Regions from separate parts of the Mus musculus genome. Here all the other regions are reported to be linked to region 2. The links are microRNA targets in miRTarBase. Many come from high-throughput screens and were not tested one by one. Region 2 holds a microRNA gene; each other region holds the end of a gene's coding sequence.
Evidence for each region. Region 2 holds the annotated microRNA mmu-miR-134-5p (UGUGACUGGUUGACCAGAGGGG, at 1,711-1,732, shown strand). A microRNA usually pairs through its seed, bases 2 to 8, with sites in the 3' UTR of a target mRNA and lowers its output. Matches are read on the target gene's strand: a 7mer-m8 pairs with bases 2 to 8, a 7mer-A1 pairs with bases 2 to 7 and ends in A, and an 8mer does both.

Region 1 (3,257 bases), not on the chromosome of region 2:
ATAAAATCATCTGGGACTGAAAGACTAGGAGCATCTCAGGTTTTAACTGAGCATAGACTCAGTCATCAGTATGTAGCCAGTCACTCGGATTTCCAGGAATATATGTTAGAGAGTTTCAGAGCTTCCCATAGATACAGGTTTTTACAGAGTATACAAACTCAGTCATCAATATGTAGCTGGCCACTAGTATTCCCAGGAACATATATTAGAGAGATGTAAAGTTTCTATGGACAGCTAATTTTATGTCTTTTCCTTATAGGATTTCTAGATATTTTATTTGCCCCAACTTTTATACTTTTATCCCATTCTCTCTCTCTCTCTCTCTCTCTCTCTCTCTCTCTCTCTCTCTATCACACAAATAAGAACATGCCAGTCTGGTAGACATTACCTTTTAGGGGAAGCTGAGTAAAGATTATATTGATATAATACAGGGGTACCTCTTGACACACTTTTAAAGCTCCTTGTGAATGTATTAATTATTTTAAAAATAAAATTAGAAAACCACTATTTCAAACCTCTAAAACCATTTCAAAGCTCAACTTTTCCTTTACCAAGTAAAGGAAAGTTAACTTTGTCTCTTTTCTTACAGGACCTGTACCTGCCGCTGTCATTGGATGACTCTGATTCACTTGGCGATTCCATGTGAAAGATGATAGGCTAAATCAAAGCCTATTATTGTAGCAGAATACTTTCGCTCAAGTGACCAACAAGGCTATTGGTGCTTAAACATTTTTGTTATTGTTGCTTTTCAAAACACTCTGTAGTATGTAGGGTTTATTTTCTTGTGACTTCTCTTCTGGGCCACTAATTCACATTTACCAATAAGAGATAGATTGATAACCATCCTTTTGAGTGACTTTTCCAGAACTTCAAAGTGTGCTACTCCATGACCTTTCTACTGAATGCTTAGGGGCCTTTGTATTTTCCCCACTCAATTTGTTCAGAAACTAGTCTTCCTTCTCTGGAAGGCTGTTTACATACACATCACTTAAAATGTTTATGTGTGGGGAAAACTTTCATATGCAGATCTAAAAGCGAAAAACCTAAGTGTCCCTTGCCTCTGTATCTTCAGAATGCTGGAGGATCTCAGGAGAGTGGCAAGTCAGATCCTTGGTCTCACTCTTTGCTCTTAATTGAGCCCCCAGTGTATTGTCTAGCATTCATCCTGGCTGTTGAGATGGAGAAACACCAGCGACTTTTGATGTGACACCATGTGCTTAGGGCTGTGGTATAGGGCTGTCTGAAAGATATGAGGTAGAATATAGGGGGAAAACTGCCCAAATTTCAGTAGGATTTGTATAAAGCACAGTGGATTCCTGGTTAACCCCTCTACTGGGGAAATTTGGAATCAATCAATTGATTAGTTTGGGGTACATGATGTCACATACATGATCCTTCCAGGAGGCTTTCTAATGTACAAGTTAGTACATGAACGGTATGGTATCCATCTAGCTCTGTTCTATTGAATGCCTTGTAAACAACCAACACTACAAACACTGTGAGAATTTGTTTTCAGGTCTGACACCTTTTGGTCGCTTTTTATAGCAAGAAACCATATCCTTTTTTATAAAAAACTCAACTCTGTATTTCAGGAGCAAAACTCTTCAGGCTCCTTTTTTATAAGCTGGTGATTTTTTTCCTTTGTCTAAAAAACACAAGTAGAAAATTGACCAAAAAAATGCAGAAGAATACTGTAGTTTAGAAATCATGCTCTCACTGCCAAACAGAAAGCTCCGGGAGAAAACACAATGACTAGAGGCCAATTCAATAGAATCAGGTTTTTGATACCTTTTTAACAGTTACACTTACAGTAATAATTTCAATGTGGACCAGACATTCTAGTTATATTTTAAATGAAATGTTATGGCATATTTTAAGTAACTCTTTTTTATCTATAATCCTAATATTTCATACTTAAGATGCAGAAACCTTTCACTTGACTTTAACATTAGGAAGGACTTCTCTTTATTACGGATTGATCACTTGAAATAACTCTGTCTTTGAGGTACAGGTTTATAACATTGCTTTTTCTCTGTATTCATAGCCCATAATAGCCAAGACAACGAAAGTTAGGTGAAAGCCATGCATGCCAATTCTGTGTTTGATTTGACGAGATAGGAAGATTTCCTTCACTTCTTTGTAATTGTTCAGATAGTTTGAAAGATGCAGCATTCAAAGTTTGGCTGCTGAATGACATGCAGTTGTCCCTCCATTCTAAGTAGAATGAGTGTGGGGTTCATTTGTGTGTGTGTGTGTGTGTGTGTGTGTGTGTGTGTGTGTGCTCGCGCGCGCATGCGCAAGCACGCCTAGGCTGCTTCATACTTAGCAAATACTGCACAAGACAACTCAACATGAATTGATGACAACTTGGTGGCATTGCTGATGTGCAGGGGGAAGTAGGATGGCAGGGGTACCTAGAGCCCCCTTGATAAATTTCAGATGTCCTTAATTATGAGATTCCAAGAAACATTTTTGCTTTTGGTTCAGCAGAAGGGGGATGATGAGAGCTCTGGTTTCTGCTTACACTGCTCATTGAAGAGCCCAAAATCATGAGGTTTTGCTCCCCCCCCCTTTATTGCTATGCCCACATGAAATGATTAAGAAACCCATTTTAATCGGCCCCTATTTTTTTTTCTACAAGCTCAGTGATTTCTTAGTGCCTCCCAGAACATTTGAGTTAATTAGGGAAAATTGGTTATTTGGGATGGATAGAAATTGTGGTAGGAGATCTATTTTTAACCTCTGGGCCAGATCCTCCAGCACACTCTATGTTGTTCTTTGAGCAAATCCCATGTTGTCCCAAGTATTCATTTAAGATGAGACATGGAGATTCTACTGAAAGAGTGGGAGCAAAGAAATTTCAACAGTCCCTATGCCCAGGCTTCTTGGTAGTTCTCTGAGCATTTTTCTACTTGTAGTATAATATAGCACTAGAAAATACTATGGACATATCTTTTTTAGAATATTCTTAGAACAGACATTCTTGTATAACAACAGTGTCCTTTCTGTTTTTCTTTGTGCTAACTACAAGTAAACCTTTAACAAATACTTTTCCTTTATATACAGGCACAGATACATACATATAAGAAAACTTTTTTTTACTGCTACTTCGTGTGGCAAGGGTTGGTAAAATTGAAAACTCAAGTCTCCAATAATTTAGTTTTAAATTGGCTCAAATTCAAGTAATTTTTTTCAGAACTAAGCTCTTACATCCCCCGTATTCTTTCTCAGTTTTTCCTAATCCACTTTTACCACTT
Region 2 (3,257 bases):
ATTTTTTTTCAAAAGTTAAATTCTTATTAATATCCCAACTTCATGCTCCACAAATTGGTCAAGAACAGTGACAAGAGAATCCATGCGGGCTGTTGTGCAGGTTTTAGAGAGCTGATAAAGATATCACGAGGATGAGCAATCTTCCCAACTGGAAGAGTGGAGACTGGGGGTGCTCTTAAAGTAGGGCTAGCCGGTGTACCCAGGGACTGGATGAGCCAACATCAGATGTGAACATGTAGGAAGAGGAGGGGCCAAAGTAGTACAACCGTAATGTTGGTGGAACCACAATCCCTGAATGATTCGGTGGGCTGCAGGGAGCATCCTTGCTGCTATCATGGCTATCTCAGCTAAGGCAATGACCCTGGATGCTCTGAAAGGCTGCTAAGATGGAAGAAAGGGTAACAGAAAATGAGGAAGTCATAGGACCAATGTTGGGGATCTTGATGATACATCAACAAATGAATGTTACACTGGGAAACAAAATAGAGGTGGGGTACTACCGCCTGCTAGCCAGAACTGTAGGAAATAAGATGAATACTTTCCATGTCCTCAGGAGAGAGCCAGGTTTCCATCACGGTGAAAGGTGGGGCCATGGAAAAGAAGTGAAGCCCCAAGGGACTTTGCTAGTGAAATATGTTTTATGAAACCATGGAGGCAGGTGGGACACGGAAGGGTGAGAGATGGGTTCTTACTAGGGCTTTGGGAAGCTATCCTAAGGAAGCTTCCTAGTGGCGAGCCACTAGAATCTGGAAATGCTAACTGGTCCTTCTCGTGCAAGGTTGCTTGTAGGAGTTGGTTACGCCATTTGTGATGGTCTTCTTCTTCTTCTTGAAACTGATTTCTTAGAGATGAGACAGTGGGAGTGGAGGATCACCTGGGATCATGTAGAGCTCAATGAACCTTCTCTTGATTCATATGAGGATGCTAGTAGCCTTGGTTGGGCTTTTCTGCAGTGGGACTTTTATAGTCCCCTCAGGACCTTGATGTGACTAACCATATGTGCACCATTGAGAAATGCAAGTCCCCATTCACATACCCCAGGGTCTATATACCTGCAGAGGACTTCTGACCTACAGCAAGTGGGCTCCCTTCTCATCTTGAAAACCTTCCAGTGTGAACTCTAGAACCAAGGAAGACAGAGAAAGGGGACAATGTCAGCATCGTTGCAAGGGAGGTGAGTGACCACCCCTGCCCCACTCCAGTGTGTTTCTAGAGCACTTGCCCCCACCTCACTAACACTCAGCATCCAATCTGCCTGCAGGTTGGTGGTTGGAAACCATAGCCCTTGGAGAAATGGAAGGGGCCCTTTGTCTGTCTTGTCTCTGCTTTTCTGTGGTACTTGAAGAGAAGTTGTTCGTGGTGGATTCGCTTTACTTGTGACGAATCATTCACGGACAACACTTTTTTCAGTACCAAATGCTACCTCTAAGGATTTCCTGGACATGATGGCAACTTGCAGAAAGATGGCGGTTCAGTCAAGCTGGTAGAGAAGCCAAGTATGGATGTTTGGCCACGGACAGTGTGCTTGAGCTAGCTGTAAGTCACCTGGTCGGGTTACCTGAGCATCTGATCCACCTGTAGGCCTCTCATCAGTGGGCCGTGCCAACCTTGGTGAGGCAGCTGTGGCTCTGCCCCCAAGTATCAGCTTACAAGACTTTGAAAAGAGGTCATCTTCCGGAAGAGATGTTGGTGCCAGCACCATTCAGGGTGTGTGACTGGTTGACCAGAGGGGCGTGCACTCTGTTCACCCTGTGGGCCACCTAGTCACCAACCCTCAGCATCAATTCCACTCAAAGAAGACTTTCCAGAGATCCTACCAAGTTTGGGGATATGTCAATGGACTTGATGGCTGTGCCTGCTCAGTGGACCAGGATGAACTGTGGTCTTAGGGGTGTATGTTTACATAAGATGCCATGAGGCATCCGTGGTAGCTGCTGCATCACTGTCACAGCCTCCTTGAAATGTTGACTTCAGATGTGGACATGATGTTGACTTCCCATGAGGGACCTGAAGTCCCTTCTCTCCTGGGTGTGTGACTGAATTGTACTTTACTAAGCATGTGCCTGTGCCTTACTTATCTGATGGATCTATCTTCCAGTTGTCTAACCTCAATATCCTGTCTCTACAGGAGAGTCTGTGAGATGATACCAACCTCTAGAAGCAGGCATGGTTGTCCCGACATCGCCACACTACCACAGGAGCTTCCAGAATACATTCTCTTCATGGAAACTGTGGAACCACGCCCCCTCTGGTCCAGGAGGACTAACCAGATTCAAGGCTATCACCATCCCCCTTCAGGTAAGTGTGCCTCGGGTGAGCATGCACTTAATGTAGGTGTATGTCACTCGGCTCGGCCCACTACCCAATGCTGTCCCACCCCTTCTTCACAGGACAGTGGAAGCAGCCACCTTTTCGAGAGAGTCGATGTGTTCTTCACCAGTGTTCTTCGCCAGTGATCATGTGTGATACTTGGAGAGAGGCTGGCCGTGATGAATTCGATTCATCTAAACGAGTCATACACGGCTCTCCTCTCTTCTAGTGTCAAACTCTGCCTCAGAGGTCTTCTCAAGCCACTACTGTTCCCAAGGTGGGTTTCTGGATGGCTAAACCCATGTCAAGTGCCTTTATCCAATTGTATATTTCACACAGTTATCCCAGTGTCCAAGCTAACCCACACACGACTTCCTAGGACATTTCTGATTTTTTGGAAAGACCAGAGACACTGTTGGGAGATTCTGTTTAAATGTTTAAACATACTGGCTGGCTTCTGTTTTGGTTAGTACCTAATTCTACCATGGAAGAACAACTAGAAGCAGCCTTGGCTAGTTAACCTTCAGGATACAGACTAGAATGGGACCCGGAACATTGTGAGCCTGTGTTGAGTTATCTGTAGCCATTCCATACCCTGAAGTGAAGTCTCTGAAGATGAGCTCAGCTTCACCCAGCATCCCCAGGACAACCTGCCTTGCAAACTTGTGTTTGCTGTGGGTATGGCTCTGCCACCTTTGACTTAGTAAACATTGCATGACGAGTCAAAAATCACCTTCCTCTTGGCGCTTATTTGGGGCCCATAAACCAGAGGTTGGCCAGAGAGCATGGGTCTGATTGGGACTTAAGCCACTTGGTTCACTTATTCTCAGAGTCCTGTCCATTCTGTGTCTACTCCCAAGGTGTCCCCCTGTGAAGAAGATGCAGGAGTGCTGTGAGAAGTGCCATCCCCTGGTACTTGGAGGGAGGTTGCCTCATAGTGAGCTTGC
Region 3 (3,214 bases), not on the chromosome of region 2:
GCCCGCGAGCTGAAGGTGTCTGAGGCCAAGATGGATGGGATTGAGGAGAAGTACCCCCGAAGTCTGAGTGAGCGGGTAAGGGAGAGTCTGAAAGTCTGGAAGAATGCTGAGAAGAAGAACGCCTCGGTGGCCGGACTGGTTAAGGCGCTGCGGACCTGCAGGCTGAATCTGGTGGCTGACCTGGTGGAAGAAGCCCAGGAATCTGTGAGCAAGAGTGAGAATATGTCCCCAGTACTAAGGGATTCAACTGTGTCTTCCTCAGAAACACCCTGACAAGCCTACAGCTCCTCTCAGGAGTCACTGTGGACTTGATCACACCATGATGTAGCACCAAGTGCCTTTTGTGCCCAGTGCCAAAAAGACCTTGCTGATCCAGGGCGGGTCCCCTCCCACCAGCTCCTGGAGTATATCTGTATCTACGGAACCTCTGCTCCCTGGGCTTTCGGAACACATGAAGGTTCCCCGTCGTGTTCTCCACCACTGCTCCTCCCCCCCACCCCCCCAAGAGGTCTCTGGTCTTGCAAGAAGGAAGTTGAAGCTGATGGCACATGTGCTGACTGCAGTTTGAGAGCCTTCTTCTTGTTCCTTGGGGGAAGACACCATCTCAGTTAAGATCACTTGGTTGCCTTACAGTTGGCCAAGAGGACATCTGTCTCACATCCTTGGAGGCCATCAGACAGCAGCTCCTGACCCCCCACCCTCAAACAAGTGCAAGACCCCTGTGAGGACTGTGGTTTAAAGGGTAGCACCTTGCCTCCATGGTGGTCTGTAAGCAAGTGCCCTGGGCCTACCTACATATAGTGGCTCACTCTGAAATCCTAGCACTTGAGAGTTGAGAACTGCACTTTACAGCAGCCTGAGCTACAAATGAGATGTTCTCCCCAAACACACAAAAGCAAGTGCCTTTACCTGGAGATAACTTGTGTCACCAAGAATTTCTATTATATTAAGAACCCTTCTAACCTCAGAAATCCCTCCCATCAGGCTGACTGAGGTGTGCTTACAGCCCTGGGTGCTAGTTGTGAATGGAGTGATGTGATTTCCTTCACACCAGCAGGGGCCCTGACTGCCACACTTGGAGCCCAATAAACCATTGTCTCAGCTTTCTAACCTTTGGCTGGGTGTGATAATACATACCTTTGATCCTAGCTTTTTAGGGAGGTGGAAGCAGGTGGATCTCTGTGATCTATGAGTTCAAGGACAGCCTAGCCTACATAGAGAACACTAAGTAGAAAGACCATATCTCAAATAAATAAAAGTTCATGTCTGGAGAAGAGGATCTTAGCCACAGGTTCTCCTGACAGAGTGAAGAGCTGTACCTCACTGTCCTAACCTAATGTGGACTTCAAGTGACCAGCCTGGGGCCTGTACTCAAACACAGATCAGTCATTTCCTGGCACTTAGGTTCTATGCCCTCATTTCCTGCTCCCTGCTCCACCTATCCACCAGACAGCTGACCCCTCAGCACACTTGAACTCTCCTCAATCGCCTTCCGCATTGTTGGTCCCTCCTGCATTCCTTGGGTTGCACCCTCCTCCACAGCCTCAAGCCTACCATGTTCTTCAGCTCAGCATTGCTCCATCTGGCTGTTTGTTCAAATTCTTGGCCATTGAGGCCTCCTGACTACTCTGGGGACTCATCCTGTTTTCTCTGACCCCATTTCTCACCTGGCTGTAGCCACAATGCTCTTGACTCCCCAGACTATGCATAGGCCTGTATAAGGTGTCTGGTGGGTGTTCTCTGTCATTCTCTACCCCTCCCCCTTTCTCCAGTTTGAAGGGTTTAAGACACGGTTTCTTGTAGCCCAGATGTAACCTAGGTTGGCCTCAAGCTGAGTGTAACTGAAGTGACCTTGAACTCCTTTCTGATCATCCTATGCGCTAGGAAGCCTGGGCAACCCTACTGCTCTTGCTGATGCCTTTTAACTGTCCTGTGGCAAGTCACAGGTCGATGGGCTTAGATGTCACTTTTTTTTTTTTTTTTTTTTTTGGTTTTTCCAGACAGGGTTTCTCTGTATAGCCCTGGCTGTCCTGGAACTCACTTTGTAGACCAGGCTGGCCTTGAACTCAGAAATCCGCCTGCCTCTGCCTCCCCAGTGCTGGGATCAAAGGCGTGCGTCACCACGCCCGGCGTGTCACATTTTTTGTACAGCTCAGGAATCCAAAATGGCTCTCCAGAGTTCAGCTCAGATATGAGCAAGCTGGTTTCCTTCTAGATTTAAGAGAATGTCACTTGCTGTATTCCCCTCTTTAAGTGGCAGTATTGAGTTACTACTGTTGCAGGGCTTTTGGGCCACCAAAGAAACTTATCCCTTTGTACAGAGTCCCTTCAACCACGTTGGGGATTAAAACGCGGTCATCATCAGGGTGAGCACCCCACACATCTCTGCATCTCCCCAACTTGTGCCCAGTTTTGCCCTGAACACCTCAGCATCAATTCCTCCTGCTGCTAATAAAGGCTTGTCAGAGCTGCACAGCTCACAGGTGACTCTCCTTGCCTGCTCTTCACTCCTCAGCTCCCATCAGGGTCTTGGCTCCTACCCATCCTTTACCAAGCGTTGGAACCACAGACCCGCCTGTTCCTAGAAGCCAGCCGCCCTGCATATTTTTAGTTTCCTATTTTTGAATTCCACAATCATTTCTGAGTCATTCAGCTGACTGCCTTCTGGTCACAAGGTCCCAGTGTGAGCTGTGTTTCAAATTAGACGATGGGACATGATGTGATGGAATGTGTGATGCATCCACCATAGGCCATGGGCCTCCAGTAGCTGATGCAAAACAGTGCTGGTTTTCTGGGAGATTCGGGAAGCCCACAGAATCTTTAGTCATGTGCTAAGTGGATGCTTGCCTGAGGGATATCTGCCAGCAATGGGACTCATTGTCACCAAGGCTTTGCTCAGCCAAAGCCAAGTGAGAGGGCTGGAGTGTTTTAGGTGTGGCTAGAACAGGACAGCATGGTAGGCATGCATGTGGAGGTCTATGGCTCCCAGACTCCCAAAGCCTGAATGGACTGTAAAGATGAGGTCTGCTCCCTGTCCATCAAAATTTGATGAGCATACTGTCTTATGCCTGTGATCTCAACACTAGAGGCGAGGGGAGGAGGGGTCACTGCATTTTAAGACCACCCTGGGCTAAATAGACCTTATCTCAAACAAAAAAGGCAGGTGTGTCATGGCATATACATCTGTAATCCCAGCATTTGGGAGGATCAGTTC

Region 1: miRTarBase lists Dcx as a target of mmu-miR-134-5p. The part of its 3' UTR that is shown has no 7-base or 8-base seed match.
Region 3: the mRNA of Fadd is a reported target of mmu-miR-134-5p. Seed matches in the 3' UTR shown: 7mer-A1 at 1,939-1,945.

Annotation. Positions count from the first base shown.
Region 1 is chrX:143,860,940-143,864,196 of GRCm38, reverse strand. It overlaps Dcx (doublecortin), which reads left to right. Exons shown (of 7, transcript NM_001110223.1): 7 at 590-3,257. The coding sequence ends at 646. Among named protein-coding and RNA genes, the nearest start is that of Capn6, 35 kb to the right of the region's middle.
Region 2 is chr12:109,732,435-109,735,691 of GRCm38, forward strand. Mir134 (microRNA 134) reads left to right here and starts at 1,705; the gene lies at 1,705-1,775. Mir382 (microRNA 382) reads left to right here and starts at 1,337; the gene lies at 1,337-1,412. Mir668 (microRNA 668) reads left to right here and starts at 2,298; the gene lies at 2,298-2,363. Mir485 (microRNA 485) reads left to right here and starts at 2,468; the gene lies at 2,468-2,540. It also overlaps Mirg and Mir453.
Region 3 is chr7:144,577,588-144,580,801 of GRCm38, reverse strand. It overlaps Fadd (Fas (TNFRSF6)-associated via death domain), which reads left to right. Exons shown (of 2, transcript NM_010175.6): 2 at 1-2,479. The coding sequence ends at 273. Among named protein-coding and RNA genes, the nearest start is that of Fadd, 3.2 kb to the left of the region's middle.